Kluyveromyces lactis: one gene and its partners. Each later gene encodes a partner of the first gene's protein in a complex. Links are inferred from orthologs where the notes say so. Each region holds a gene or a part of one and is shown in the gene's direction. Other genes may lie near its edges.

Evidence for each region.
Region 2: CFT2 (region 1) and PAP1 share a complex: the UniProt entries of both Saccharomyces cerevisiae proteins name them as parts of the cleavage and polyadenylation factor (CPF) complex. The link is inferred for Kluyveromyces lactis from reciprocal best matches to the Saccharomyces cerevisiae genes CFT2 and PAP1.
Region 3: CFT2 (region 1) and PTI1 share a complex: the UniProt entries of both Saccharomyces cerevisiae proteins name them as parts of the cleavage and polyadenylation factor (CPF) complex. The link is inferred for Kluyveromyces lactis from reciprocal best matches to the Saccharomyces cerevisiae genes CFT2 and PTI1.
Region 4: CFT2 (region 1) and SSU72 share a complex: the UniProt entries of both Saccharomyces cerevisiae proteins name them as parts of the cleavage and polyadenylation factor (CPF) complex. The link is inferred for Kluyveromyces lactis from reciprocal best matches to the Saccharomyces cerevisiae genes CFT2 and SSU72.
Region 5: CFT2 (region 1) and YTH1 share a complex: the UniProt entries of both Saccharomyces cerevisiae proteins name them as parts of the cleavage and polyadenylation factor (CPF) complex. The link is inferred for Kluyveromyces lactis from reciprocal best matches to the Saccharomyces cerevisiae genes CFT2 and YTH1.
Region 6: the proteins of CFT2 (region 1) and CFT1 are in contact, whole or in part, in a cryo-EM structure (PDB 7ZGQ), measured with the Saccharomyces cerevisiae proteins. The link is inferred for Kluyveromyces lactis from reciprocal best matches to the Saccharomyces cerevisiae genes CFT2 and CFT1. Residues at the interface, in NP_013216.1 of Saccharomyces cerevisiae: Ile524, Ile525, Ile526, Gln527, Ser532, Lys533, Lys535, Met536, Phe537, Pro538, Phe539, Pro541, Ala542, Lys543, Ile544, Lys546; in NP_010587.1 of Saccharomyces cerevisiae: Lys84, Ile85, Thr99, Leu100, Ser101, Leu102, His103, Tyr104, Ala196, Val199, Ile1277, Asp1278, Arg1279, Glu1280, Leu1281, Gln1282, Gly1285, Leu1286, Asn1287, Arg1289, Met1290, Leu1293, Ala1294, Tyr1298, Gln1299.
Region 7: CFT2 (region 1) and FIP1 share a complex: the UniProt entries of both Saccharomyces cerevisiae proteins name them as parts of the cleavage and polyadenylation factor (CPF) complex. The link is inferred for Kluyveromyces lactis from reciprocal best matches to the Saccharomyces cerevisiae genes CFT2 and FIP1.

Annotation. Positions count from the first base shown.
Region 1 is NC_006041.1:1,061,952-1,067,169, reverse strand, and holds CFT2 (cleavage polyadenylation factor subunit CFT2), read left to right. Parts: upstream 1-1,635; coding exon 1,636-4,074; downstream 4,075-5,218. Other genes in the region: KLLA0_E12035g (uncharacterized protein), read right to left, coding at 1-999. UniProt on the Saccharomyces cerevisiae protein: RNA-binding component of the cleavage and polyadenylation factor (CPF) complex, which plays a key role in polyadenylation-dependent pre-mRNA 3'-end formation and cooperates with cleavage factors including the CFIA complex and NAB4/CFIB.
Region 2 is NC_006038.1:1,160,798-1,165,651, reverse strand, and holds PAP1 (polynucleotide adenylyltransferase PAP1), read left to right. Parts: upstream 1-1,713; coding exon 1,714-3,510; downstream 3,511-4,854. Other genes in the region: MUP1 (Mup1p), read left to right, coding at 4,819-4,854. UniProt on the Saccharomyces cerevisiae protein: Polymerase component of the cleavage and polyadenylation factor (CPF) complex, which plays a key role in polyadenylation-dependent pre-mRNA 3'-end formation and cooperates with cleavage factors including the CFIA complex and NAB4/CFIB.
Region 3 is NC_006042.1:1,903,728-1,907,731, forward strand, and holds PTI1 (cleavage polyadenylation factor subunit PTI1), read left to right. Parts: upstream 1-1,749; coding exon 1,750-2,994; downstream 2,995-4,004. Other genes in the region: KLLA0_F20504g (sphinganine kinase LCB4), read right to left, coding at 1-702; UGA1 (4-aminobutyrate transaminase), read left to right, coding at 3,910-4,004. UniProt on the Saccharomyces cerevisiae protein: Component of the cleavage and polyadenylation factor (CPF) complex, which plays a key role in polyadenylation-dependent pre-mRNA 3'-end formation and cooperates with cleavage factors including the CFIA complex and NAB4/CFIB.
Region 4 is NC_006040.1:1,644,029-1,647,481, reverse strand, and holds SSU72 (RNA polymerase II subunit A C-terminal domain phosphatase), read left to right. Parts: upstream 1-1,584; coding exon 1,585-2,208; downstream 2,209-3,453. Other genes in the region: cysteine protease ATG4, read left to right, coding at 1-1,152; GUD1 (guanine deaminase), read right to left, coding at 2,289-3,453. UniProt on the Saccharomyces cerevisiae protein: Component of the cleavage and polyadenylation factor (CPF) complex, which plays a key role in polyadenylation-dependent pre-mRNA 3'-end formation and cooperates with cleavage factors including the CFIA complex and NAB4/CFIB.
Region 5 is NC_006042.1:760,259-763,825, forward strand, and holds YTH1 (cleavage polyadenylation factor RNA-binding subunit YTH1), read left to right. Parts: upstream 1-1,706; coding exon 1,707-2,339; downstream 2,340-3,567. Other genes in the region: protein phosphatase 2A regulatory subunit RTS1, read left to right, coding at 1-382; FUN14 (Fun14p), read left to right, coding at 984-1,490; lipid-binding protein PIL1, read left to right, coding at 3,196-3,567. UniProt on the Saccharomyces cerevisiae protein: RNA-binding component of the cleavage and polyadenylation factor (CPF) complex, which plays a key role in polyadenylation-dependent pre-mRNA 3'-end formation and cooperates with cleavage factors including the CFIA complex and NAB4/CFIB.
Region 6 is NC_006039.1:880,004-885,095, reverse strand, and holds the start of CFT1 (cleavage/polyadenylation factor CFT1), read left to right. Parts: upstream 1-1,790; coding exon 1,791-5,092. Other genes in the region: PIH1 (Pih1p), read left to right, coding at 1-65; PRO1 (glutamate 5-kinase), read right to left, coding at 196-1,452. UniProt on the Saccharomyces cerevisiae protein: RNA-binding component of the cleavage and polyadenylation factor (CPF) complex, which plays a key role in polyadenylation-dependent pre-mRNA 3'-end formation and cooperates with cleavage factors including the CFIA complex and NAB4/CFIB.
Region 7 is NC_006041.1:534,165-537,967, forward strand, and holds FIP1 (cleavage polyadenylation factor subunit FIP1), read left to right. Parts: upstream 1-1,590; coding exon 1,591-2,478; downstream 2,479-3,803. Other genes in the region: transcription factor IME1, read left to right, coding at 58-693; BUD4 (Bud4p), read right to left, coding at 2,692-3,803. UniProt on the Saccharomyces cerevisiae protein: Polymerase-regulating component of the cleavage and polyadenylation factor (CPF) complex, which plays a key role in polyadenylation-dependent pre-mRNA 3'-end formation and cooperates with cleavage factors including the CFIA complex and NAB4/CFIB.

The DNA of each region.
Region 1 (5,218 bases):
TTCTGTATTCACTGGACACCTGTAAGACCTTAGGTTCCCAAAAGCACAATCGATGAACTTGACGTTACCCCAGACACTGTTACTAAATTCGACACATAGGGATCGAATGTTGCGGCATTTGATGTTCTTGAAATTGGCTTCTGAACACATTGGGGATGCCCTGATTGTCAAAGATTCTCTCACGAAGGATCCATCAACAAGATCCCTTTCAGTGTTACTATTGTAACTGACGAGAGTTAAATGGTCGCATGGTGGTAATACAACTCTCTTTCCTGGTGGCACTTGGAATTTTTCAATCGTTTTAAGCAGGGGACAGTATTGTAGATCATCGACTATTGTAGTGTTATCCTCACATTGCAATTGATTCACTGTCATAATCCTAGGTGCAATCACTTTCTTACCCCTTCTTATGTTCAAAGTGAACAGCGTTTCCACGTCATGTAAATAAGTAGTCTCAAATATCGTGTCGATATCAAACATGTCAACTTCCTGGTGATTAATATCTCGGTTGGCGAATATATGTAATTCACATAATCGTAGTTGGCTTTGACAATGGCTTAGCTCTCTGAAATAGAACTTGGAAAGGAAATTGGTAGTCGTCTTATACATGAAGCATAGATTCTTTAGAGTACCCATCCCACTTAGCCCTCTACTTAATTCACATAATGCCGTCGCCAATGGGTCACTGTAGCAGCGATCGGATACGATGACAATGAGAACGTTGTCAAACTTCCGTAGAAATTCGCTCAACACAGGAAACTTGAACGTATCTGTATTTACGCAAGCGGTGTTTCTCTCATCAGATAACAACTCATAATTGCAAGGATCTGCTAAGGTTTTTGATGATTCCCTATCCAAATCCCAAATCTTCAATACACCAAGCTTGCGCTTTATAATTGTTCTAAAATGTGAACCAACCTTACTCCATGCTAACAGACTCTCTAGACTGTCTAGTCCGCTAGTTACTACACGATCAATAATTTCGATCGGAAGACTCATTACTTTTGTACCCTTAAATCTTCTTCTCCTCCTTCTTATCATTAGCAAATCTGTCAAAAGTGTCAACTAATGCAGCTTATCTTGCACGTTGTAAACTAGGTCCTTATAATTCAACTGATTTCAAGTACGCTGGTATATCCAAGATGCCTTTAGACTTCTTCCAGTGTTTGGGTCAGTTGAGCAATCTGTTCCGTAATCTGTCGCTTTATTCTTTAATATGCTGACTCAACCTCAAAGAACGTTCGGAATACATTTTGACACTTAAAGTACCGATAAAATTGTGGATTTTGTTGCCTATAATTGTAAGCAATGAAATATGTTTGATATTCCACCTACTGGACCGTACCAACCTACAGATTGCAGCAGTATCTCGTCCAATAACAACTTCCCTGTCTCAGTTTGGCCTCTTAATCCTTCTTACTGACATTATATCTCATTACCCGGACATAACATGTCAAAATGATACTCAAGGCATCAACATTAAGTTCATTTAAACAGTACATGCAAATAATTGAAGAATGAAGGATAAAGGAAGAAGAAGAAGAGATTGCCGGCACTGAGGACACCTTTTCCTTTCCCATTCCAACCAGTGGATTCTCATTGTTTTTCAAATATAGAAGTAACTGTGCTCTCAAGATGACATACACCATCGAAACATGTAGGGATGAGAAGAAGCGGTTTGAGGGAACCATTGTACGATTCAACAATGTAATAGTATTATTGGACCCAGGATGGAACGGTGAAGGCAGTTATGAAGAATGTGAAGAGTTTTGGACGCAGTACATATCTGAAGTTGACATTGTTCTGATTTCCCAGCCCACAATTGAATGCCTTGGGTCCTATGCCATGATGTTTAAACAGTTTTTGCCTCATTTTAGGTCGAGAATTCAAGTTTATGGGACGTTACCTGTATCAAATCTAGGCAGAGTCAACAGTGTTGACCTTTTAACTTCAGTTGGGATATTAGGACCGTTTTCTAATGCCGTCATGGACCTAGAAGATATTGAAAGCTCCTTTGACTTGATTGAAACGGTGAAATACTCTCAAACGGTGGATTTAAAGAATAAATTCGATGGGCTCTCATTAGAAGCACATAACTCAGGGTATGCTCCCGGTGGTACCATTTGGACGATAATCACTTCATCAGAAAAAATATTGTATGCGCCTCGTTGGAACCATACAAGAGATACTATCTTGAATAGTGCGGACCTATTAGACAATACTGGAAATCCAACCAGTTCCATGATGCATCCGACTTCTGTAATAACCAACCTTTCTATTATAGGCTCAGCTGAACCTCAGAGGAAAAGAGTAGAACATTTCACTGATACCATGAAAAGAGCTATACAAATGAATAACTCTTTACTGGTACCAGTTGAAGTAGGAGGGAAACTATTGGAAGTACTAGTCCTAGTTAACAATTTCTTATATGAAAATATGAGGGGTGGATTGAAGTATGATATTCCGGTGTTTCTAATATCTTATTCAAGGGGCCGTTCTCTCACATATGCTAAATCTATGTTAGAATGGTTGTCCTCGCAAGTAATCAAGACCTGGGAATCTCGAGACAATCGGTCTCCATTCGATGTTGTATCTAGATTGAGGATTATTACTCCTGAGGAATTGGGAGGTTACACTGGGCAAAAGATCTGTCTTGTTTCCGAAGTTGATGATATTTTGTCACAAACGATAAACAAACTTTGCTCTAAAGATAAAGTAACGATCATATTGACAGAGAGACATCCAAATACCCCAGCACAACATCCCTTACGAAAACTTAATGATAAATGGCAACAAGCAATAAAGAATGGGAGTAGAAGTGCATTGGATGGCAACCCCATTAGCATATCTGATTCGATGTCACTTCGAATCATGAAGAGAACAATTTTAAACAAGAAGGATGCGGAGAAGGTGAGAGAAATGATTAAAACTAGAAATGAGGTAAGAGAGAAAATTATCGAAGAATATACGGCTAAGACCAATGACAAAGCTCAAACAAAAACAATACTTTTTGATGTTGATGATGAGAGTAGCGACGAAGAAGGTGTGGATTCAATGGATGCAAGAGGCAAGAATGGATCGGGAAACGTTAAAGTGGAGATTCCCGTAGATATTACTTCCAATGATAGTGTTTCCACAAATGAAAAGCACCTTATGTTCCCATTCCATCCAGCAAAGCTTAAATCTGACGATTACGGTGATGTGGTCAACTTAAAGAGATTCTTACCACAGGAAGAATCATATGACCAAGCACAATCTTTAAAGCAATCTTATAGTAATAACGATTATGATGAAGACGATGACGATGATACATATGAGGTACTTGATTCGCGGATTAATAAATCAAAGAAAAGAAAAACAGATCATAATCCTAGGAAACAAGAAAATAATGATGATATTTCTTACTTGGACCCATTGAAAAGTGACATTTATAAACGAGCAATTGTGGAAACAAAAGTTAACATTCGTTGTTCTTTGGTATATATCGACTTGACAAGCATAGTTAATGCGCGGTCGATAGCAATCATCTGGCCTGCAATCAAACCAAGAAAAGTCATTGTGCTGCCATCAGCTGCTCCTGTTGATAACCAAGTCGTGGTTAATCTAACAAAGAGAAATATTGACATATTGGTGACTGAGTTCAATAATTCGGTTGAGATGGATACATCTGTCAAGGCAATTGATATTTCTATCGATCCATCGCTCGACCAACTTCTAAACTGGCAAAGAATCAGTAAATCTTTCACTGTGGCACACGTTGTTGGTAAACTATTGACAGAAACTGACCCAAAAGCCCCACATCGGGAGAAGGTTATATTGAAACCGTTAAGCAACCCGTTAGCTTTACATTCTGGAAGTTCTCTAAGAATCGGAGATGTTAGACTACCGGAATTGAAAAGAAGACTAACTGCGGAAAATCATAAAGCTGAGTTCCAAGGTGAAGGTACACTAGTGATTGATGGCAAAGTTTTGGTTCGGAAGATTAATGATGCCGAAACCATAGTTGATGGTTCACCATCGGACGTATTTTACAAGGTCAAATCGGCAGTGTCAGACATGCTAGCCAACGTTTAAATTGTTCGCGGAAGCTTTCTATAAACGTGACATCGACTTAGATATTAATTAATTATAGTAATTTAGCATTGTAGTAAAGCATTTATAGATCAGTTGTAGAGCTGACCAATGGGGTATGTATGTCGGGATTCAAACATCTATTCTAGGTCTGGCATTCTTTATCTGGGGGGGTTAGAGGGCAAAAAATATACTCCGCGACGGGGAATTGAACCCCGATCTCGCACGCGACAAGCGCGAATTCTAACCATTAAACTATCGCGGATCTGTACTTGAGAAATAGAAAAACTTTGCACTACAGGTTCGCTCAACGGTTGCAGAACACTGATTTCGTTGGAACTAGTCATAATGCATGACCGGGTGATACCAATATAATAGGCGGTTAATGATAGTTTTGTGTCACTGACACATAGCAAAGTATATAAACCAGTACTCAGATCTAATCTACTAATTAGTAGGGATCAGATCTACAGACACCAGGTGCATCTAATTCTACTAGGAGATAGATAGCTAATCAAGATGAATTCTTCTAATAAAGATCTGACAAGATCTAAGCCACGTGACATGTACAGTCATATACCACAACAGGTAGCCCGAATATGAAACTCAGAAAATCCCGATATTCCACAAATACGACTCCGTGGCCAAGCTGGTTAAGGCGTGCGACTGTTAATCGCAAGATCGAGAGTTCAATCCTCTCCGGGGTCGTTTAATTTTTTTCCCCTTTTGCTATCTGTTGTTTTTTTTTCCTTTCCTATTTCTCACCTGTTGCAATTTTTCTGGAATTCCCGCTTAAAGATTCTTTTTTCCTCTGAGAAGTCTCTGAGAAGTTTTTTTTGTTTAAAGTTTTTCCCCTTCGAAAAGAGCGCTCGCTTGTTAATTCGCTTGAGAGTTGCATATTTTCTTTATTTTTTTGTTTATTTCATTTACTTATTTATTTGGTTAAATTTCAGTTGTAATTTGCTTTACTTCATACAAGTTTTGTATTTTGAGCAATAAATTTTACACCGTTACACATCTCTTCGCTCAAAAAAAACACAAGCAGCACAACAAAATACATACACATTATCAATTTATTGCATTTGAATAGAACTTACAGTTTCTAAAGCTACCGCCGGTTTTTTATCCAATCTTTTTTGGCTATTTT
Region 2 (4,854 bases), on another chromosome or scaffold:
ACTTTGGATGTAGTAAAGGTATATATAAAAATAAATCTCTCTAGATATTTGGAATATCTCTCTCGAGTTGACTAGAATTGATTTTGATTTGATGTTTTTCTTGTTTTTCCCCTTTTTCGCCACCAAAAGTTAGAAAAAACCAAGTATTACCCGGAAATGGTTAGATCTGCCAATCTAACTGGATCCAGATCGTATCCAATAGATAGCACAGTCAGTGAGCCTATTTAGCCAGTAGCCTCTTATTCAAATTAACGGGGAGAAGAGTTTCCAAACGAACTACAAGGGCCCATATAAAGGCCGACTTTCACTGTCAATGGGATAGTTTTCTTGTTTTTTTCGGATGCCGTTACAGATCTACACACGAAATACAAAGGTTTTGTAATCATCAAATATCTTGATTCTTCCATATCTGGATTTTCGTTTATATATATGCATATACTTCCAATTGAATTATTGTTGGATAAGATTTACAGGAAATTGAACATACAATTTGCAAATTCAAGCTCGCTCATTCTTATGATTGGGGTCTTTCACGTAATTATTGATTTTTCCTGGGTCTTGAAATCGATTTTGAATTTTTCTGGCTTTAAAAATTTAGTACAAAATGAAATAATATAACAAAGTGTGAACTTTTGAACTTACTATACCTTTTATTTGGTTTGAGTGTGTGAACAGGAGAAGCTAAAGTTAAAACCAACACTACATATCCCTTTGGTCCAAACTTGCCAGTACCTTCAAATTGAACTTCTTAATTCTTTCATTCGCTGGACACTCCTGAGACAGAATTGGTAAAGGAAAGAAATAAAGGGAAACGGAATTCTCAGACAATACAATATTAACTGGCTGATTTTTTTGTCTACACACATATACACACAGTCTCTCTCTATCTGAATATAACTGGATAGTTTGTGCTAGTTACGTTTTTAGTTCAAATTAGTGACGAGCACATCTTTTGATATTGGTCACCTGTTACCAACAACAACAACAACAAAAGAAGTTAGTGTCAGACTCACAAATACTGAAAAAAGCCTTTGCATTGGAACTTTGGTGTATTAACTCTCGGAGATTATACACATCCGACACTTATTTGATTATCCTCATCACGAATTAACTTGTGAGGAGTACTTTTGACGGTTCTTTCTGATCTAGGAAGACGTAGCAAGTCAAAACTCATTCAGGTTGTCGACTTCAGTACAAGACGCACAGGTTTTCAAGGACACTTACGATAATTCAAGGACGGTGATTGGCGACCAGTTGAATTCAATAAGCTCGGATCTTGCAGGGCTCAAGGTTTCCGGTTGTGATATCACTTCTGAGGTAGTACTAGGTGCAGTAGGGCTAATAGAAGAAGAAGAGGAAGGGGGAAAAAGTTCAGAATCTGATAGTGTAGGATCATCTCCCTCCAGACAAAGAAACCGGCATTTAAATCTCAATACAAGCCGAAACACATATCAGCATCATTTGCAACATCACCACCATTATAATCAAAGACAGCAGCATCAGCAACAATATTTCAATCAGCCAGGGCTACATTACGTTTATTATTCACCGGCTAACTCACCAACATCGTCTCCAATCTCAAAGAAGTTTCAGAACTACATTCCAAGAAGACAATCCGCGGACAGCCTTTTAAATACCGGGGGAAGTGATTATCTGGATAGAGCAAGGAATAGAAATATACCAGATTACAGAAACAAATATTATCCCAATACAATGTCCCAGAAAAAGATCTTTGGTGTAACGGGCCCGATTTCCACGGAGGGTCCCACTGCTGCCGAAAACGCATTAAACGATTCATTAATTCAACAGCTTAAGAAAGAAGGCTCTTTCGAAACGGAGGAAGAAACTGGGAAGAGAGTGGCAGTATTAGAAATCTTCCAAAAATTGACACAAGAGTTTGTATATCAGGTTTCAAAGAAGAAAAACATGTCCGATGGTATGGCTCGTGATGCTGGTGGTAAAGTATTTACCTTTGGTTCTTATAGATTAGGGGTCCATGGTCCAGGTTCCGATATTGATACGTTGATTGTGGTACCTAAACATGTATCCAGAGAAGATTTCTTTACCGTATTCGATGCTCTGTTGAGGGAAAGACCAGAACTTGAAGAAATTGCGTCAGTTCCAGATGCTTTCGTCCCAATTATCAAGATCAAATTCAATGGAATCTCCATCGATTTAATCTTTGCTAAACTAGATTTACCCCAGGTTCCAATAAGTTTAACTTTAAGTGATAAGAATTTGTTAAGGAACGTTGATGAAAAGGATCTAAGAGCGTTGAACGGTACCAGAGTCACCGATGAAATTTTAGAATTAGTGCCTAATAAAACATCTTTCAAGATTGCATTAAGAGCTATTAAGATATGGGCAAAGAGAAGAGCAGTATATGCAAACGTCTTTGGGTTCCCCGGTGGTGTCGCATGGGCGATGTTTGTGGTAAGAATCTGCCAATTGTACCCTAATGCATGCAGTGCGGTAATAATATCAAAATTCTTTCAGATTTTATCACGTTGGAAATGGCCACAACCTGTCCTATTGAAGCCAATCGAAGATGGTCCTTTACAGGTCCGCGTGTGGAACCCCAAAATATATGCACAGGATAGATCCCACAAGATGCCTGTGATTACACCAGCGTACCCTTCAATGTGTGCTACCCACAACATCAGTGAGTCAACTAAGAAAGTGATCTTATCTGAATTACAAAGAGGTGTAGAGGTCACACAAAAGATTTTCTCTAATGAACTATCATGGGAAGATTTGTTCAAGAAACACGATTTCTTCTTCAAGTATAAATTCTACCTAACGGTTATGGTCTCAACAAAGGGTTCCGACGAACAACACTTGAAATGGAGTGGATTCGTTGAAAGTAAGCTCAGATTGTTGGTCCAAAAACTAGAAGTTTTACCAGGAATCAATCTGGCGCATCCATTTATTGAACCATACGAGTCCAGCTATATATACAATAATGAGGATGAATATAAAGAGATCATGAACAACTACGGTACACATAAGACAGAAGGTGTATTGAAAAAGTTTACAAAAATAACTGATGCAAACAAAGACGATGAAGCCTCCAAAAACTCTAATCAAGTTCACATAGCCACGATGTTTATTGGACTTGACATCAACACAGAAGAGAGTAAAAAAATTGATATACACATTCCATGTCAAGAATTTTTCAATTTGTGTCGCTCATTACCCGACTATGAGGACCCTGAAACGTATTCTTTAATCATCAAGTATGTGAAAGTGCATGACTTACCGGATGAAGTCTACCAAGAGGGGGAAACACGTCCTGTGAAATCCAGCAAGAAGAGGAAACCGGAGAAAAGTGGTGAAAAGAGTAAAAGACCTAAATCCGATCCGTCCAATGGCAAGTCTACTACTACTACCAGTGGCAACACCAATTCTTCTTCCCCAGTAAATGACGCTAATTCCACTCCATCATCAAATGTCCCAGCAAACAGTAATACCAATGCTATCACCGAAGACCCAATGACTGCGACAACATAGAAAGTCTTACGATCCGTTCATACTACCTCTTCAGGGTTCGCATAATGCATCATGGCCAAGGCAACGTGAGTCTCCCCTCAAGCCTTAGCCCCAGTCATTAACAAAAGTTTCTCTACATTGAACGCGACACATAAACTCAACTTTCCCACTAGATAAACTAAGTAAAAAAAAAAAAACGTCTCATATCACAGAAAAGAACAGATCATTACTATAATAGTGAAGCTGTCCGCCACATACCCCATTGTTTTGCATAAACCTACCATCTCTAATCTGAATATTTTTGTTCTATCATCAAATATGTTTAACTGGTACTTATTTTTAGTCAGCTATGTGCCTTATCTTGATACATAATTGACAGATGCGGACAAAAAGAGTCAAAGGAAAACCACAAGAGATAGAAGGTTAGCCAGTTAGACACTGATAAAATCCGAGAAAACAAGACGTTACCGATACCCGAACAGTATCATCTGGTTCAGCCGCTGTTGATTCAACAGGCAAGTTCCTATTTCAAGTTTAACTTACAAATACACCCATAGTGATGAAAGAAAGCCACACTTTTCAGTAAAAGAAAGAAGCAACGTGACAGAAAGAGATCGAGTAATGGGAGTGAAGGAAAAGAAACAAGAAGTTGAAATTTGAAGGTAACTTAGGTAACAAGTGTCTTGTGAAGGGTTTTTATCTGTCAAAGAGGTTCAAGAAGCCATTTAAGGGCCATTTTCGAAAGGCTACTTTCTTTCATTTCGCCCAGCACTTGGATTTTGCTTTCTTTTGACGCAATTATTTCGTTTTTCCTCTTTGTACCCTTGTTTCTTTGTATTAATTATTGTGCCATCGAGCTAATTCGGTTTTGGGCTACAGAAGGGCTCTATTTGAATGGCACTTCTCAGTTATAAGCCTTGTTTCGTTCTTTCTTGTTTTTGGTTCTCTTGATGAGAGGAAGCTGTGGCATGCTACTACTTGATATAATTAGTTTTAGCACATTAAAGACTTTACTTAGTAGTTTGGTTTTTACAATGAGCTTGTAGAAGACATAAACTGTGTAAAACTATGAATATTCAAATTCACACTGTGGTTACTAATAGCTTTTGATCCCAAGGTTGTGTGTGGTTTTTTGATTATGTATCGATATCTGTCATTTGGACAACGCCAGTTGGCCACTTCATTGTATAAATACGATACCAATAGTTGATATCTAGATTTTTTTCTTTTCTTGGCTTTCGTTATTCTCAAATCGGTTAACCTTTGTGTATCGCATACGACATAAAGCACATATCTCATCGCACAGCTGAAACGAGACGAACATTCAAGATGTCGGGTAGTCGATCATTTCTCTCGCAGTTGAAC
Region 3 (4,004 bases), on another chromosome or scaffold:
GTATTCATCTATATCCAAATTTTTTGCAATGTCGACAGCATGCAAATGATATGTTGTCTCTTTAACAACGATTTTGCAACCACTTGCTAATAATATTGGTTTGGCTTTGGACAAGAACAATTTATTGGCTTTACCCTTACCACCGTGTGGGTTGATAATGACTAGAATTGATTTGTTTCTCTTAGTGTTTTTATAACTTCTATTCAAGATCTCTTCTGCCACATCAGTTCCCATATTAGGAAACACTGAAGTATCGACGCTCAATTTTATTGTTTTTGGGACTAAATGGTTCCTCCTTGGCTTTGCAAAAGTGACTTCAATCAATGCAGTATGATCCGGCCATGGGGAACCATCATCTTCTGCTTCCATATTCGTGACATCAAGAATCTTTGCGTAAGGAATAACCGTATTTGAAGGTAGCAGCAGAGCTTCATTCTCATCTTTAGATTCCGTGTCGCTGAGACAAGTAACACAACTGATTAACGAAGCTGTTTCAAAAACACTAGATTGGAAGCTCCCAGAAGCATCGCCGTCTTCGTCATCCTCGTCATCGCCGAAATCACCTCCATTACTTCTGCGTGCCAAAAGCGTCGATGAGCTTGTTGAAGGACCGGACGTAAATTGATCTTTAATCAATAAACCATTTTCGCCAATGATGGCTCTTGTATAGGGCAAATGATACTTCCTGCTCAGCTTACTCATTATTCTTGCAGCCCTCTGTTTCCTTTTTCTCAGATGAAGGGAAATATCTGAATCAGACTCTGATCTCTGTTTGGACCACAACAGTTTTGGCAACTCAACAAGAATAATTAACTACCTCTTTTCCACCTTTACGTGAAAATAACGCAAAACAAAATCAAAAAAAAAGAGACTGATTCAAAATTGAGATACAGTCAAACAAGATCAATGACTATGTCTTCTGTTATTCTCTGATGAATCCTCTTATCAATACCTAGCTAATAAATCACAGGGGGTATGTTTTCGGGATGACGGATATATTACTGTTCCTTTCAGTTCAGTTCGATTTAATTTGATATATCTAACTTGAAAACGGAGAACACCAAATCGTTGTCATAAATATGATAAATGGAAACGTTTCTTGGAAATGATAATAAAGTATAGTACTATCCACCAGTTAAACTAGAATTCTCACAGACAAATTCTCTAAACAAATTTCCTAGGTTCACGATGCTTATATAAGAACCGATGCGCAATGCTTTTTTTATCAGACTGTCTTCTTGTCTAGATAACAAACCACGAGAGTAGATCCTTAGAACAATTTTCTTAAATAGTAGAGGCTTGATTAACAATACTCTGGCTGATATTGGATGTGGACAGAACAGTTTCTTATTCATCAATCATATCTTTACGTTTTAACTTCGAAGGCTTCCTGATTTTCGATTTCATGTAAATCTAAGAAATACAAAACAAAAGAAACATCAGTTGGCACGTGATATATAATCAATTATTACCCGGATATTGTTCTTATATGAATGTTAACTTAAAAAGATTCTAAGCATCGTTAAAGACTAACGGCCATACTAATGAATTAAGAAATCTGCTGTCGACTAGAAAGAATGAATATGTAATTATGTATGTTCGTAACGATTCATTGTGAGGCAAAATAATACTAGTTACTAGACACCAGTCAGATATTTGCGATAACAAGTTTGCAATTTAGAGAATACATATATATATCGAAACGGTGAAATACTCTTAAGTTGGTTTCTAACTAAACACAGTCAAAGTATGCATGACCCACAGAAGGATCCTCGTACTAGGAAAAGCAGGCATGAACTGACCCCGCACAATCTTTCATCTACCATACGTTTTACTGACATACCTGCTCAGTGGAACAAGGATAACTTCACATCTGTGATAACTGGTTCTGGATATATAGTTGACGTTAGAGAGAAATACGTGGATGAGGTCGAAGAAGCAGGAGAACGAGAAGGGGGAAAAGGAACTGGAGCTGGAGCTGGAGCTGGAAGTGAAAGAGGATGTCTTGAATGGGTAGATGTAGATTTCAGGGACTCTTCCTCCGCCAATAGGGCCCAAAATTCAATAAATAAGATAAACCATTTCCCATGTAGGATGTCCATGGTGATTCCCAAAGATTGGAAAGAAAAGTTAGAGAAAATAGACCAACTGAAACCGTTAGAGTTCACAAGAGACAATTTTCCCTGGGATTACAAATTAGAACTACCGTTTGAAATGGTAAGTGAGGTACCTTTACCAAGAAAGCCGTTGCCGGTGGTGCAACCAATAACAAGTGACGCAGGAAGCACACTATCCTCGGAGAATAACACTGCATCTACGAATGCTGCCTCGGATAACCTTGCCTCGAAGGCGAACGAGGCACCGGCACAGCAGATAGAGATCCCAGAGATCTTAGCACGGGCATCAAAGCATCTACCAGCATACCAACCGGGCTCGATGACTGCACCGGATGTGGTATCTCAAAATCTATCGAAGATTCCTACGTTACAAATGATCGAGATTCTATCAAACTTGAAGATCTTAGCCAACCAGCATAACAAGAAGCCACAACTGGAACAATTCTTGAAGACTAACATTGACTTAACGGTAGCTGTCACTCAGGCAATGCTAGAAATGGGGTTGATAAACTATCACGTGATATCAAATGTTCTAGGCCAAATGCAGGGCCAACATTCTGTTGGACCCACGCCTGCCGCAGCCGCGCCTACAGTACCAACTCTGCCGCCAGTTCAACTACCTGAGCCGTCTGTACCCCAGACGGCTCAAGGCATTAACAGCGGTGGTAACGGTACTGGTGGTGATATTACCACCACCGCTACAACCAACGCTGCCAACACCCCACAGCAGTTCAACGAGGCAAAACTTTCGCTACTGCCGCAAGATCAACAGAACATGATCAGAACTGCGCTTTCGATGCCCATAACGAACATAATGGCTCTTCCACCAGGCCAGCAACAACTAATACAGCAACTCAAAAACGACTACCTTCTATAGATAATAATAATAGCAATAACAAGAAAAATACATAGCACAATTCCTATCTCTTAGTCATCCATAATGGCTCGAAGGCTTTCTTTCTATCTATAGTGTATACCACCGTGTTTCCCAACCTAAAAGTTCCGCGCGCAAGTTTTCCTCTTTAACGACTTGGCTCATACAGGAAACTGAAAATGGAAAAAGCTGAAATAACCGACATTTCAAAACAGGAAGATGTCAAATGCATGCGGCGAAATGAAGGGAAACGAACGTCGAGGGAAATGTCTAAGGAAAGCGCAAAGGGAAAGAAATGCCGAAACGATTGGGCTACTATTCGAATGTTTTGGCGGTAGCTGCCGCCCTCCACAGCAACACGGAGCACTTTGTGTCAGGATCCTTTGGAGAGATTAGATAGATATTTGTTTATGTGCGTGTGTAAAAAGAAAAACTTGTCAAGTCCTCTCTTGCAGTAATCCGTTTCTGTTTTCAGTATGTTATATCAGGTATCATCAGTGCCGATCTGAGCTGATAAGGAAGGAAGGAGGAAAGGAGGGAAGGAGGAAGAGAGGGCAGAAGAGGTTTCCGTCGCAGTTTCACCGACCTATTCGTTAAAATACCTATTCGCTGCTCTTAATTTTTTGAATGGCGCGCGGATAATTACTACAGCGTAAAACACTGTGCTTATTGAGCTTAGAGATCAATGAAAAAAAAGTGCTTATGAAATTAAAGCAAGGCGATTCTTAAAGGGAGCGCGGGACTATACAGATGAGGTGCACATGAATCATGGGAAAAAAAATCGTATATAAATCCATGGGTAGATTGTTCTCTCTGAACTAGAGGAACCAGTTTCTATAATTTACATGTTGTTTGTAATTGTGTTTTTAGTTTACACCCAGTCCACAAGCACAGAGTAATCATTTGAATTAGGAAAAGATGTCCGTTGCTGCTAAGTACTACCCAAACGAACCAACTGAACCAAAGGTCGTTACCTCAGAGATTCCAGGTCCTGAGTCCAAGGCTAAGGTCGC
Region 4 (3,453 bases), on another chromosome or scaffold:
CGAGTGTTCTTCACATACCGCACACAGTTTACCCCTATCCGCAGAAATGAGAATGGACCATCTCCTATCAATTTTACCCTTTTTTTTAGAGATAATCCTATCAACACATTAGAAAATGCTTTAACTGATCCTGACAGTTTTTATTCAGATATTGGTTGGGGTTGTATGATACGCACTGGGCAGGCTCTTTTAGCGAATGCCATTCAAAGAGTCAAGCTTGCCAGGGAGTTCAGAATAAATGCTTCAAGAATAGATGATAATGAGTTAAATCTGATCCGTTGGTTTCAAGACGATGTCAAATATCCTTTGTCGTTACACAACTTTGTCAAAGCAGAAGAGAAAATATCTGGAATGAAACCTGGGCAGTGGTTTGGGCCAAGCGCAACAGCCAGAAGCATAAAAACATTGATTGAAGGGTTTCCCCTTTGTGGAATTAAGAATTGTATAATTTCAACTCAGTCGGCAGATATATACGAAGATGAGGTCACAAGAATTTTTCATAAGGATAGGGATGCTAATTTACTTCTGCTGTTTGCTGTCAGGTTGGGTGTTGACAAAATCAACAGCTTATACTGGAAAGACATATTCAAGATTCTCTCATCACCATATTCTGTCGGGATCGCAGGCGGTAAACCCTCGTCATCATTATACTTTTTTGGATATCAAAATGAAAATCTTTTCTACCTTGATCCACACAACACTCAGCAATCTTCTTTAATGATGGATGATCTTGAATTTTACCGAAGTTGTCACGGACACAAATTCAACAAATTGCATATATCAGAAACAGATCCGTCAATGTTACTCGGTATGTTAATTTCAGGTAAGAATGAATGGGATCAGTTTCATACTTATTTCAGAGATAGTCAAATTATTCAATTTTTGACAACCAGGCCAGAAAATGATTTATATCAAAGTGCCAATATGTCTGTCGGTTCTGATTCTATTCACTCATTGGAGTCAGACATACAGGACACTGGAGAATACGTTGATGTTGGAACATTAGTTTCTGGCAAACAAATGTCCTCCCCGCAACCAAAAGATGAAGAATTTGAAGATGTTAAATGCAAAAGCCAGCGAATAATCGTCTGCGAAGATCCAGCTGATCCTGAAGTTGAACAAGTTCTTGTCGAGGATTCATCCTCCTGCTGACTGCTGTATCTTCCTCATTCTTTGTTTAAGATATTATATTAAATATTAGTATCATTATATAATATGGATCCTTCGGCTGTCAAGCACCTAATTCAGCCACAAATAAGGACAGGCTTTGGTAATCGGGTGTAACGGAAGTGACCTTGAACTTATACTAATTACCAATCTATAATTCTATTAAGATTATTACAAGCGTCGCATTTCCGGGTAATATTATTATCTAGCTGCACATTGATAAAATTGACTTTGTTAAGAGCTTCAATGAAAGTTACAAGATATTCATAATTGGTAACCGAAATGGTAGACAGCCCATACTTGCATTTCATATTCAATTATTATAACTCTCATTTTCATACAGTGTTGTCTGCTTAGTGCTACCAGAATAGATAATTTGACTAAAAGTTATTACGAATCTAAGAGGAACTATTAGGCATGAGCGAATCAATGAGAAATAGCGGGCTTAAGTTCTGTACTGTGTGTGCATCTAACAACAACAGGTCCATGGAGTCCCATAGGGTATTGGAAGAGGCAGGGTATGATGTTTCTAGTTACGGTACTGGAAGTGCAGTTAGACTTCCAGGTCTCTCGATAGATAAACCAAATGTGTATTCATTTGGTACGCCTTATGATGATATATATAATGACTTGATTTCTCAAAGTGAAGATAGATACAAGCAAAATGGTGTATTAGAAATGTTAGATCGTAACAGGAAGTTAAAAAAAGCTCCTGAGAAATGGCACGATGGGAGAAAGGTTTTTGATTTCGTTTTTACCTGTGAAGAAAGGTGTTTCGACTCTGTGTGCGAGGACCTGATGAATAGAGGTGGTCAGCTTAATCTAATTGCACATATTATCAATATCGATATCAAAGATGATAATGAAAACGCTAAAATTGGTGGGCGAGCAATATTAAGATTGGCAGATATGCTAAGAGATAAAGTTTTTGAATGTGAGAAAAACGGAACTCAATTTGAGGATTTTATAATGGATGTCTTCACTGAATGGCAAGAGAAATATCCAAAACTACCACTAACTTATTCTGCTGCATATTATTAGTTCTATTTCATCTTGAGTTATATATCATGCTATTCTTGTTTTGCATACTTATTTCGATGGAATTGTAAGCTAACGATTAGTTAAAGATTTTGATGGCACAATTTTCCACGGACCCAAACACTTTTAACATTCCTATCATCACCATTAAATAACCATTTTGCCACAATATTCTCCAGTTTGATTCTATCCTTCCCGTTCGGTTGAATTTTGTCGTTGGTAACTTTTTGCCATGGAAAAATGGATACGTTGCTTCCTTTGGTGGATAAATCTATCAATTGTGCGTCAAACTCTTTCCCTACGTCGAAACTACCAATTTTATCAGACAGATTTAAAACTTTAGCACCACCCATGGTAGCTAGATACAATACTTCGGCGACAGATAGTTTGCATTCCTCTTTTCTTTCAGGATCTTCTACTGACATTGCTCGATGTCTGGAAACTAGTAAAGCTTGCCTAGCATTTTCCAAAATACTGACTGTAAAACCACCGGAAACATCAGACCCTAAACTCACCTTCAACCCATAGTTTAAAAGTTCTTTAACTCTACATTCGCCTGAAGTTAGAGAAGAATTGGAAATTGGGCAATGTGATATTCCTGCTGAGGATTTCTTTAATAATTCGATTTCAGAATCTTCCAAATGAATGCAATGAGCTAAAACAGTTTTCCCATTTAATAACCCATGTTTATGATACACGTCGGTATATGAATGACAATCCTTGAAAAGTTCTTTAACAAAGGCAATCTCGCTGTCATTTTCATTCAGGTGCGTTTGTATTGGTAAATCAAATTCTTCTGCTACCTCAGAAAGAGAGTCCATCAGTGCAGATGAACACGTTATCGCAAATCTTGGAGTAATAATTGGTTTTATCAATGGTGAGTTTAAGTCCTTGAGTATGTATTCAATGAGATCTAATGAAGCATCTTTGCACTCCTCAATAGTCTCTTGGTAGTAGCTTGGCGAATGTTGATTCATGCAAACTTTACCAATAAAAGCACGTTGGCCTTTACTTTTGCATAGATCCGCCATTATTTTAGAAGAGTTTGAGTCGATTGTGGTAAAGTATGACGCGCAAGTGGTACCATGTTTCAAAGTTTGAGATATAACAGCATCATAGGTCAAAGCGGCGATATTTTCATCATTCAAAGATGATTCGAGTGGGAAAGTATATGTATCTAGCCAATCGAGCAAAGTTGAATTACCAAAGATACCGCAGTTAGGATACTGTGAGGCATGGATATGAGTA
Region 5 (3,567 bases), on another chromosome or scaffold:
CTATTGGAACAACGAATACTTCTTAAACCTCTGTATTGAAAATGCGGAAGTGATACTTCCTATAATTTTCCCGCCCCTATACAAACTAACCTCACAACTGGACAAGAATGATCCGTTGAGTTTAGAGGATGGTGATAATGGTGAAGATCCGTACTTAATGGTCGAGCAAGCCATAAATTCCGGCTCATGGAATCGTGCCATTCATGCAATGGCTTTCAAAGCATTGAAAATTTTCCTTGAAACGAACAATGTCTTATACGAAAATTGCAACGCACTTTACATATCTAGTTTGAAAGAAAACAACAGACGTCAAAAAGAGAGGGAAATGAACTGGAAACAATTAGAGGATTACGTTTCGAAGTTGAAGATCGCAGAAAGTTGAAAAAAAGTGACCACTATCATCCTTACGGACTCACCATCACCAAATCATTATTATCGTCTTCATTATCATCATCATCACGGTAAAAGTTATGTATATACTTATATCTACGCGTCTTTTTCACCGAACATAGAATTGTTTCCGTATATATCAGTAAACGACAAATGATTTCCAACCCAAATAGGAGGCCTTAATTTACATATAAAATAGTAATAAAGGTACTACTTGACTGATAACTTGCCGCTTATCACTTTCTAACTGACAATTCTATATATTCTTTTTTATAATGACTGTCACCCAAATCCTATTCTTTTCAGCATGTTGGGTTTTGTATGATTCTTAAATTTCAACATCGGTTGAAAAAAAAGGGTCGCAGGCTCCATCGTCAGTATGGCTATATAAAGAAATATTGAGAAGTACGTGCAAATTGCTATTGAGTTAAGAAAACGACAATTCGTAGACAAAATCACTGTTTATAATTTAATCTTTCGATAACGAAGAAATTCGGTTAGAAATCAGTCTCATTTAGTTCAACTCAGAATTGTGTTTTATATCCTCGAGTGAAGACAGACCAATCGACATAATAGGTAAAGAATTAGGAAAGATGTTCAGAACAGCAGCAAGAAACCTTGGCGTGCCATTAAGAAGAAGTGTTTATGTTGGATTCAGCGGTAGTTTATTAGTCGGTGGTGGATCGTTGTTGCACTCGATGCAACCAAGCTCATATATCATGAACGATTCAATTGTTGATGTTAAGCAAAGAACGAATCTACCACAAGAGCTTGGATTGCCAAGCCGTGTTGATATAAGTTCGAAGCAAAGAAGAGTCAACTACAGACAAATGTGCTACGGGTCAATTTTAGGTCTAGTGTTCGGTGTTATCTTTGGTAAGATATCAAGTCTTCTCGTGTTCATCACCGGGGTTGGATTCGTTGGGTTACAATTCTTGCAGAACAGGGGAGTTATCAGCAGTGACAGCACTCGTTCTCTTTCCAAATACGTTGTGACCATCGGCCGTGAGAGGATTGATTTGAACACATTGATCTGGGACAAACCCAGCTTCAAAGTCTCATTCATCTTGACATTTGTGCTAGCTGCACTTAACGTCTGATTGGTTCCGAGAACGCTACCTTATTCAGTTCACGTGACTTTTTCTCATGTGAAAACCCAGAATATCCTATAACGTTATATTTAAGAATTAGTAAAATAATTATTGTGTGTAACTCGCTTGTAACATGATTAATTACCAATCATCAAAGACATTTTCATAAACGACTGGTAGGCTACATTAGACTGGGTTGTCAAGGAGATAAGGGAGTTTAAACTAATGAGTATAGTTCATCCAGATACCTCGAAGTACGAGTTTAATTTCGAGCCATTTCTACGGAAAGAATATTCGTTCTCGTTAGATCCAGATAGACCGGTATGCCAATACTATAATTCAAGAGAGGGGATAAAATCCTGTCCCAACGGAGCACGCTGTCCAAACAAGCATGTGCTACCGATATTTCAGAACAAGATTGTTTGTAAGCACTGGCTCCGAGGTCTCTGCAAGAAGAACGATCAATGTGAATATTTACACGAGTATAACCTAAGAAAGATGCCCGAGTGTGTATTCTTCACCAAGAACGGGTACTGTACACAATCACCGGAGTGTCAATACTTGCACGTAGATCACAAGAGTCAGTTAGAAGAATGTGAGGATTATAATATGGGGTTCTGTCCATCGGGACCTGCATGCACGAAGAAACATGTCAAAAAGGTACTTTGCCCCAGATACTTGGTAGGGTTTTGTCCACTGGGTAAAGATTGCGACTGGTCGCATCCCAAATTCAAAGTACCTTCAGAACACAGCAAACTGCGCATCAAGAAAGACGAGCATATTAATACAAGAAAGATGGATGAGGAAAGGGAAAGACGCTTGAATGCCATTATCAACGGTGACATCCTAGTCACGTGACTGAATTTTTTCAGTTTTCATCAGTGCGTTCGTTCTCAGCCACTGCTGCTGTCACTATTCACTATTCAGCTCACCATACGTAATTCGATACAGATACAGATACTAAGTAACATAATACTACACAATGTTACAGCCGGATAATTCTATCAACCGACAGCAAAAGCAACACACCTGAAAAATTAAGGGAACCAAGGCTCACATACCTTAAATTGCTTATCCAATAGGTATCAGACCTCTCAGCCAAAATCATTCGCTGAGTTTCATTTATGGACACGCGGTCGACATATTCCCCAGTATAGAACACTCCATTCCACAGTTTCTTTCGGTTTCTTTTTTTTCTTGCAATACTGATAAGCATTAACCCTGAGAGCGGACGCATGAATGTACACCAGGCAACAGCGTGAGTTCTTGAAGTCAGTTTTCTAATACACCTATAACTGGCACTAGCCAGCTACTGGGATGGCAGTCTCGCATCACAGCAAGGCTGTCGACCGGTACCTCTTCGTCACTTCGTCTCTCCTCTGCTGCTGTCTATGAACCAGCGAGGTTTTGCTCAAAATGGAAAATGAAATTTTCGACGAAAACAAACAGAAATAAAAAAAAGGGAAAAGGGTAAAAAGGAAAATTAATGGAAGCAAGGTTTTTCCAAAGCAACTTCCGGCCACTTTTAGGAGAATTGCCATTGCATTTGGTAATTTATTTGTATATATATATAACACTTCTATATTTAAAAGTAAGGTTACTATTGTGATAATAACACGCAAGCTATTAATATTGAACATACGCTCAGTTATATAGAGTTCATTTGATCGAGTAATAGTTAAAAAAAAAGATAAAGACACCATATATTACAACCATGCACAGAACATATTCTTTGAGGACTACCAGGGCACCAACTGCCTCTGATTTACAGAATCCACCACCACCACCATCTTCTACCAAGAGCAGATTTTTCGGTAAGGGTGGTTTAGCTTACAGTTTCAGAAGAAACGCAGCTGGTGCGTTTGGTCCTGAACTTTCACGTAAGTTGTCTCAATTAGTGAAGATTGAGAAAAACGTGTTGCGTTCTATTGAATTGGCTGCTAACGAACGTAGAGATGCTGCTAAGCAATTGTCGTTGTGGGGTTTGGAAAATGACGATGACGTTTCTGATATCACCGATAAGTTGGGTGTTTTGATTTACGAAATGTCTGAATTGGATGACCAGTTCATCGATCGTTACGATCAA
Region 6 (5,092 bases), on another chromosome or scaffold:
ATAATCCTCCAAAATTAGAGTGTTTCTTTGTGAAGCCTGAGCGCAGATTAATAATATTTTTATAAAATCTCAATATGGCCGTATATATATATAAATTGATGCAAGATGTTCGATTATCTATATATGCTTTTATTAAAGGGCTACGTGTATGAGAGTTAAACGTAACATGTAAAGTATATTTTCATTCACTTTAGGTTAATGAGGAGGGAATGCTAAATTTTCCCTATGAGCTACGTATTCACTATCAGCATAGCCTAGAATATCTTCAATCTGATCACTTTGCAGACCTTTAATTTTTGATAACTCTGTGCTTGTATAGTTGCAACGAGCCCTACCTACTGTTTTCAGTGCAACGGATTTATCCAAATTTCCATCTGAATCCCTGACTCCCAATTTTATATCTATACATTCATGTTCATGGAAGCTCCCTTGGACTTCAATAACGCCTGCAGGTAACAAACCAGCTTTGTTTTTCCTCGTTAACGCTTCGTATGCACCAATGTCTATAATTACAGCGCCTTGACTGACGAGTCCATGAAGCATCCAGAATTGTCTGTTCTTCAAGTGATGATGATTACTATTGGCAATAAACCTAGTATGAAGAGGAACATGATTATTAACTAAACTTTGCATCTCAGTGAGTTGTAGGTCAGCCAAATCTTGTGTAAGTTCATTCACGCCATCGTCCCTTTCCTGCATGTAGAGAACAATTTTGGAAATGTTTTCTGGAGTGTCGCTCTTCATAATGATGGTATGGACACCAGCATTGGTTGCTAATTCTGCCGCAATAAGCTTAGTCTTCATACCACCAGTTCCAACATCTGATCCAGATCCACCGTCTGTGTTCACACCTGGCAATCCTTGTGATATATCTGGAACAACCAAGATAGGTTTTGCATCGGGATTTGCTCTTGGATTATCAGTGTATAAACAGTCAACATCTGTCAATAAAAATAGATAATCAGCACCAGTCAACGCTGCTGTGATAGCTGATAATGTATCATTATCACCAAATTTGATTTCGCTCACAGATAAAGTGTCATTCTCATTAACGATTGGCACTACTCCCATGGAAAGTAATTCACTAATAGTATTCTGTGCATTCTTATACTGAGTCCAATCAACAATGTCATTTCGAGTAATTAGGATTTGAGCAATTCTCTGATCAAATTCAGAGAACAAGGAATCCCACCTCCCAATTAATCTGCCTTGGCCCACAGCTGCGATTGCTTGCACCTTGGATAGTTTCTTTGGCCTTCCCTTCATATTCATCGTTTTCAATCCGACGGCGATACCTCCACTAGATACAATGATAACTTTGTGTCCTCTTCTGCGTAACTTTACCACAGTCTCCACAATCAATGACATGATAGAAAGTTTTGGTTCTTTGGTCTCTTCATCAACTAGTGATGAAGATCCCAATTTTATGACTATGACGAACTGCTTTACCATCTGAACTTGTTGGAAAACGTTCTTCTTCTCGCGGTCCGTAGAAACCTTTGGTTACAGAAATTTCAGGCCAGATTGACTAATAGCTGCTGCTCACAGACAGTACACTATGTTTATATCTGTTTTGCAGATGCAGTTATTCATCTTTTCAAATGGTCTGCAGATGTCATCGAAACATTTACTTTCAGTTTCTGTGAATTTTTAAATATTCACCGGTTCTTCAAAATATAGGTAACTATCATTACTAAGAACACTGGAAACAGACGAGCGTAGGTGGGCATACTAGCACTCTTCAGTCACACCTGAATCTGAAACGTTTAAATATCGGGGATAGATAATAAATGAACGTTTTTGACGAGATATTGCAACCCACTGTGGTTAATAAATGCTTACATGGGAATTTTACGTCAGCGGAAAGGGAAGAATACGTTGTTGCAAGAACCAATGTTCTCTCTGTATTCAGGGTCTCGCGAGCACAAAAGCTTGTACTTGCATATGAATGGAAACTAGCAGGTAAAATCATAGATATGCAATTACTGCCCCAAATTGGATCGCCTCTTAAGATGCTTGCAATACTTTCGTCGAAATCCAAAGTATCGTTGGTAAGGTTTGACCCAGTGGCAGAGAGTCTTGAAACACTAAGTCTGCATTATTATCACGACAAATTTGTCAATTTAAGCACTTCTTCTTTGAAGACGGAGTCCATTATGGCAGTGGATCCATTGTTTAGATGTCTTCTGGTTTTTAATGAAGATGTTTTAGCTATATTGCCATTGAAACTGAACACAGAAGATATGGAAATTGATGAGGATGAGAACGGAATAAAAGAGCCAATGGCTAAACGCTTAAAAAGGAACCAAGGAATCACATCCGATAGTATAATAATGCCAATTTCTAGCCTTCACAAGAGTCTCAAGCATGTCTATGATATAAAATGGTTAAATAATTTCAGCAAGCCAACTGTGGGAATATTATATCAACCGGTACTTGCGTGGTGTGGAAATGAAAAAGTACTTGGAAATACTATGAGGTACATGGTTTTGAGTTTAGATGTCGAAGATGAAAAAACCACCGTGATTGCTGAGCTTGCAGATCTTCCGAACGACCTGCACACCTTGGTTCCACTGAAGAGGGGATATGTGTTGATTGGTGTCAATGAATTATTATATATCAGTGCATCTGGTGCACTACAATCGTGCATACGATTGAACACATTTGCAACGTCTTCAATCAATACAAGGATAACTGATAATTCTGACATGAATATCTTTCTATCAAAGAGTTCAATATATTTCTATAAAGCTTTGAAAAGACATGATTTGCTTATTTTGATAGATGAAAACTGCAGGATGTACAACATTATTACAGAATCAGAGGGTAATCTACTTACCAAATTTGACTGTGTACAAGTACCGATTGTTAACGAGATCTTCAAAAATTCAAGATTGCCGTTGTCGGTATGTGGTGATCTCAACTTAGAAACTGGCAGAGTTCTTATAGGTTTTCTCTCAGGTGATGCAATGTTTCTGCAACTTAAAAACTTGAAAGTGGCATTTGCAGCAAAACGACAACTTGTTGAAACTGTTGATGACGATGACGATGAATACAGTGCACTTTATGGAGAGTCTCAAAATAATACTCACACCAGAATCGTCGAAACACAAGAGCCTTTCGATATATCATTGTTGGACTCCATTTTCAATATCGGTCCTCTAACATCTCTTACTATTGGTAAGGTCGCATCTGTTGAACCAACTATTCAGAGACTTCCCAATCCTAACAAAGATGAATTCTCAATTGTAGCTACATCTGGAGTTGGGAGGGGATCTCACCTCACTGCATTGCATTCCACTGTCCAGCCCCACATAGAACAAGCCTTAAAATTCACAAGTGCGACCCGTATCTGGAATTTGAAAATAAAGGGAAAAGACAAGTATCTTGTGACTACAGACGCTGATAAAGAGAAAAGTGATGTATATCAGATTGATAGAAATTTTGAACCTTTTAGGGCGCAAGATTTTAGAAAAGACAGCAGAACCATCGGCATGGAAACTATGGACGACGATAAACGTATTTTACAGGTAACTTCAGGAGGATTATATCTATTTGATGTTGACTTTAAGAGGTTAGCAAGATTAACTATTGATATCGAAATTGTTCATGCGTGTATTATTGATCCATATATTCTATTCACGGATGCTAGAGGTAACATCAAAATTTATCAACTAGACTCTAAAAATAAAAAAAAATTCATCAAATTTAAGCTTCCAGAGGCTCTCAATGAAATTATCATCACATCTGGTTCCATTTTCAAGAGTAACATTTGCAACAAATTCCTACATGGATTGGAAAACTCTTCACAAGAACAGCTTCTCTTCACATTTGTAACGGGCGACAATCAGGTTATTTTCTTTACCGAAAAGCACAATGACAGGATATTTCAGTTAAATGGTGTCGATCAGCTAGAAGACATGCTTTTTATAAGTACGTATCAGATTCCTGAAGAAATGAACCCGGACCCATCAATAAAGCAAATCATGTTAAACAGATTGGGCCATCATAAGAAAGAAGAATTTCTAACTATTCTTACGTTTGGTGGGGAGATCTATCAGTACAAGAAGTCGACAAAGCACAGCGGTAAACTCTTAAAATGTAAATCCCATCCTCTAATTACCGGTGCTCCTAACAATGCATACCCTCAAGGAGTTAATAAAATAGAAAGGGTTGCTCATTACTTCCCTAACTACAATGGATATTCAGTAGTATTTATTACTGGTCAAGTACCATATATCATAATCAAAGAAGATAATTCGGTATGTCGGATATTCCGGATGACTAATATACCTATTGTCACAATGGCTAGGTGGGGTAAAAACTCTGTGATGTGCGTAGATAATATTAAAAATGCAAGAGTAATGAAATTAGATCCTGAATGTTATTATGGGAATACTCAGATTCTTAGAAAAATCATTATTGAAGATGTTGTTGAGGAATTTGAAACTTTAGGAAATATTGCGTACCATGAACGGACCGGAATGTATATCATCTCCTATACCAAATTCATCGAATATCAAGCTCTAAGTGAAGATGGTGAGCCCCTTGTAGGTTACGATCCAAGCAAACCAAATAGTACTGGGTATAAATCTGGACTTCTTTTGATCAATCCACTCACGTGGAATATCATTGATCGGCTTGACTTGTCTGAGAATTCCATGGTAAACGACATTAAAACCATGCTCATTCAGTTGAACTCAAAGACTAGAAGAAAGCGGGAGCTGGTCATTATCGGAAGTTCTTTTGTAAAAGAAGAAGATCAGCCTAGCACTGGCTGTTTACTGGTTCTGGATATAACAGAAGTGGTGGCCGAACCAGGCAAACCAGATAGTAATTTCAAGTTTAAACAGCTCTTTGAAGAAGAAATTCGCGGATCTGTGAATGCTGTATGTGAAATAAGTGGGAGATTTATGATCGGCCAGAGCTCAAAAGCGCTTGTTCGTGATATGCAAGAAGATAATTCTGCTGTTCCCGTAGCGTTTTTGGATATGCCTGTGTTTATTACCGATGCAAAGAGTTTTTCTAACTTGATGATAATAGGAGATTCAATGCAGGGATTCACTTTTGTAGGTTTTGATGCAGAGCCATA
Region 7 (3,803 bases), about 530 kb from region 1:
CTGATAGTGAAATACTAACTGGTTACCATAGAAGCTTAATATACTTTACCCAATACAATGCACTGCGAGCTGGATATTTCTAGCTATTTGAAACTGGACGACCTGCAAGAATGTGGAGTTAACATGGAATGGCATGGTGAATTGGCACTTTCTGATCTCGAAGATGATGTAAGCCTTGATTTTCATGAGAAGCATGTTATCAGTCGACACGATTTACAGCCAAGGTCCATCCATATGCCGTCGATGATCCATACTCAGCCTGTCCATTTGATTCACGTTCACAATTTGAAATTTTTACAGACGAGTTTTGAAGAAGAAGATGAACAGAGAATTATTTGTTCTTCTTCTACACCACCTTCACTGGCTGACACAAGACACAGTTCTGTTTTCTCTTCTACAAGAAGTATCAACGTGTTACTGGAAGAAGACGAGCAAGATTTGGACAATGACTTGCAGTGCATGGCTCCAGTGAAGAAAAAACAGCAACGTGCATTGGTGGCACCCATCATGTTCTCCTCTTCATCTTCAAAGAAAGATTCGGTCGTTTCGGAAAAGGATCAGTTTGTTTACACGCTAACTAACAAGTTACTACCTTATTTTGGGTATTTCTTGGCTGATTCTAACGATTTGGATTATTTCGATAAGATTAGATTCCAAGAAATTGATTACAAGTTCTCCAAGACGTATTTTTGATGGAACAATCCTCATCCTTTTATCCAGATATTATTTTTCCCCCTTTGCTATAGACTGCCTGTATGATACACCTGCATATTTTTTTCCTTCTTCATCATATTTCTTACATTCATTCCTTTCTAATTCTCTACTTCATTTCAAATTACCTTCCATTTTTTTTTTTACTTTGTTTCTGTGGGTGCGGACACAAGGTGACCATGTTTAGTCAACCTTACAGGTCCCATAAACACTTCAAAAAAGAACATTCACTTCTCAATTGCAGTTTACAATCGACTTTTTTGAACATTCATTCTCAACAATGTCTGACTCTTTTCAACACATTAAAGACACTCACTCGCCTGTAATGTTTGTTTCCTCTGTTGTTTTCTGTCAATTTTTTTAATTAATTCACACTTTTACTCTGAAAAAACAGGACAAAGTATTATGCTTCGTCAATAAGATGCACTTTTTTCTTTGGTTTCCCTTGTTACTTTTCCATATCTTTAATTCTTACCATCGCATATTCTTTCAAGTTCGTTAACATCGGAAATCGATACTGTCCGCAACATGCACATCTAATTCTTCTGTAAATCATGTATTCTCATTAGCTACACATTTAACCCATATTATACATTCCGTCCAAACAAGCTGAGTCGCTGTCCGCTGTCCGGTGACAGATATTCATTAGAAATGTTTGTCATTGAATACGACAATAATTTACCCGGATATGCGTCGATTTAACAGCATCATTTTGGTAAATCTTAGCATTGAGAGTTAACTATTAGTTGATTTCTATATGAGAAGAAGAACTATCTTCCTGTTAAGATACCTTTTGGGTTGCGCAGCCTTCCAAACTTTCCAAGCATTTATTGATAAATCTTCTACCAGTCCACGAACGACATATAGAAACGAATCGTTATGAGCAGTGAGGATGAAGACGATAAGTTTCTATACAGCGATGAGGAGGATTCTAACGTAGTCGCAAAGCAAGAGGGTCCTGCATTGAAAAGACAAAAGGTCGAAGAAACACCCAAGATACTAGCTCATGATGTACCGGAAGGTAATACGAATGAGGTAGAGAGTGAGGCCTCCAATCAGGATAGTTCATCAGATGAGGATGACAGCAGTGACTCAGATTCAGATGTTGAGATTATCATCGGAACTGGTAACGATACCTCTAAGATAGATTCTGGTAAGTCCCAGATATCTGCTATAACAGACACAACGCCTCTTGGTACAGCGGATCATGCTATTGCAGCAGTGGCTGGTATATCGGACGTGGTTCCTGTACAGGAGGGTTCAATACCACCTGAACAGCAGCAGCAGCAACAACAAACTATTGATTTGAACCCGGATGCACAATTCGATGGGAAACCTATAGTACAGATCGATCCAGAAATTCTAAAGGAGAAGCCCTGGAGACAACCAGGAGCGAATATTTCAGATTATTTCAATTATGGATTTAATGAACAGACTTGGATGGAATATTTACATAGACAAGAACATTTGACGAAAGAATACAACCCACAAAAGATTTTGATGAACCTCCTAGCTTTACAGCAGCAAGGAAAGTTAAATGATCCAGGTTCAGGACAACCTGTACAGAATACAATCCAACCTCCTCCTCCGCCTATGGGACTTCCCCCCATGTTTGGTGGTTTCCCAGGATTTCCATTTCCGGGTATGATGAATAACATGCAAAATCAAAATGTATCAAGCATGAACAACATGAACAACATGAACAACATGAACAACATGAACAACATTAACAACAACAACAATAATAATCTCAACGACAAGAAATGAAATTTAGTGCTTGAGGCTCGTATTGATTGCAAGCAACATTAATGATATATAGCGGACATGTACATGTATTTTCGATTCCTTGATGGAATTGTAACACAGCTTAGTTTTAAAGACCTCATGTTGACATTTGTTATAATTAGAGAAATGACATTAATATACTATACTTCAAAAAAAATGGCAAAGACAAACTATATATCTGAATACTATAACAGTTTAAAAAGTAATGTTGTATTGTTCGTTTTCAAAAACTCTTTTGATCCATGGTTGATGGAATTTATTCAGTTCAACAACGCTGGTCAAAATTTCAACCCATTGTTGTTTTAAAAGATTAGAATCAGCGTTAAAATTTATAACTTCATCATTTGCAAAAAGGAGTTTGAAGCAATCGCTGAAAAGTACCATATCAGTAAAGTTTCTCATTTGTTTTCCAGTTGCCGTTTTACCATCAGAGTATATATCTACTACGTTTAGAAGATTCAACAAAGTTTGTGGTTTTCTGGTAACTTCGTCATGAGCTATAAGTTCAGTGCCTTTCAAAATCATATATCTTCTTTTCAACATTCCCTCTACATCACCGCCTTCTTGCCACAGGAATCCTTCATTATTGACCCTTTGCTGTTCAAGATACTTCTCGCAACACTTCTGAACTGCCTTCAGATTCTTTGGGAATCTTTCCATGGACGAAGTTCTTGGAAGATACATCACATCAACTGTAAGAGAGCAAACCTTAGATGGATTTTTCCGAGGAAGTTTCCATAATTCGTCTTCTTTATATGTTTGTGCGATTTTCTCATCAAATTCGCGCTCCCATTCATTGAGGAATTCAAAGTGTAGCTCATTTGTTTTGTATTTGATTTGTTTCAGCATATTTTTATTGACATTTACCTGGCAGCGTGCAAATGAACCATCCTTTGCGAATTTGAAGTCCCAATCGTCATATTTCAATTTCTTAGTAACAAACCTTTTCTCAAGCCTATACTTTGTTTTGCCGAACGCAAATCGTTTCTTGATAGGAATCTTCTCTACAACCTCAGTTAGTTGATTTTGAGGGCTTGTGTATCGAATTTTCATAGTCATGAATAAAGTGACGTTATTTGATTCCATGTTTACTTCAAATTCCTGACTCATTTTAATAGGACCATCTTCCGGAATGGATTCCCACGGTGTTTCAATAACCTCTTTTCCATTATCAAACTCTATGCAATACTTTGCATTATGGCGTTTAATTTGTTGTAAACGAAGCGAATTGATACTCTTTAGTTTCAAGTATAGTTTGCCATGATCTTGAAGCTCCGAGGATTCAAATTCTTGAAGGGAGTTTTCTA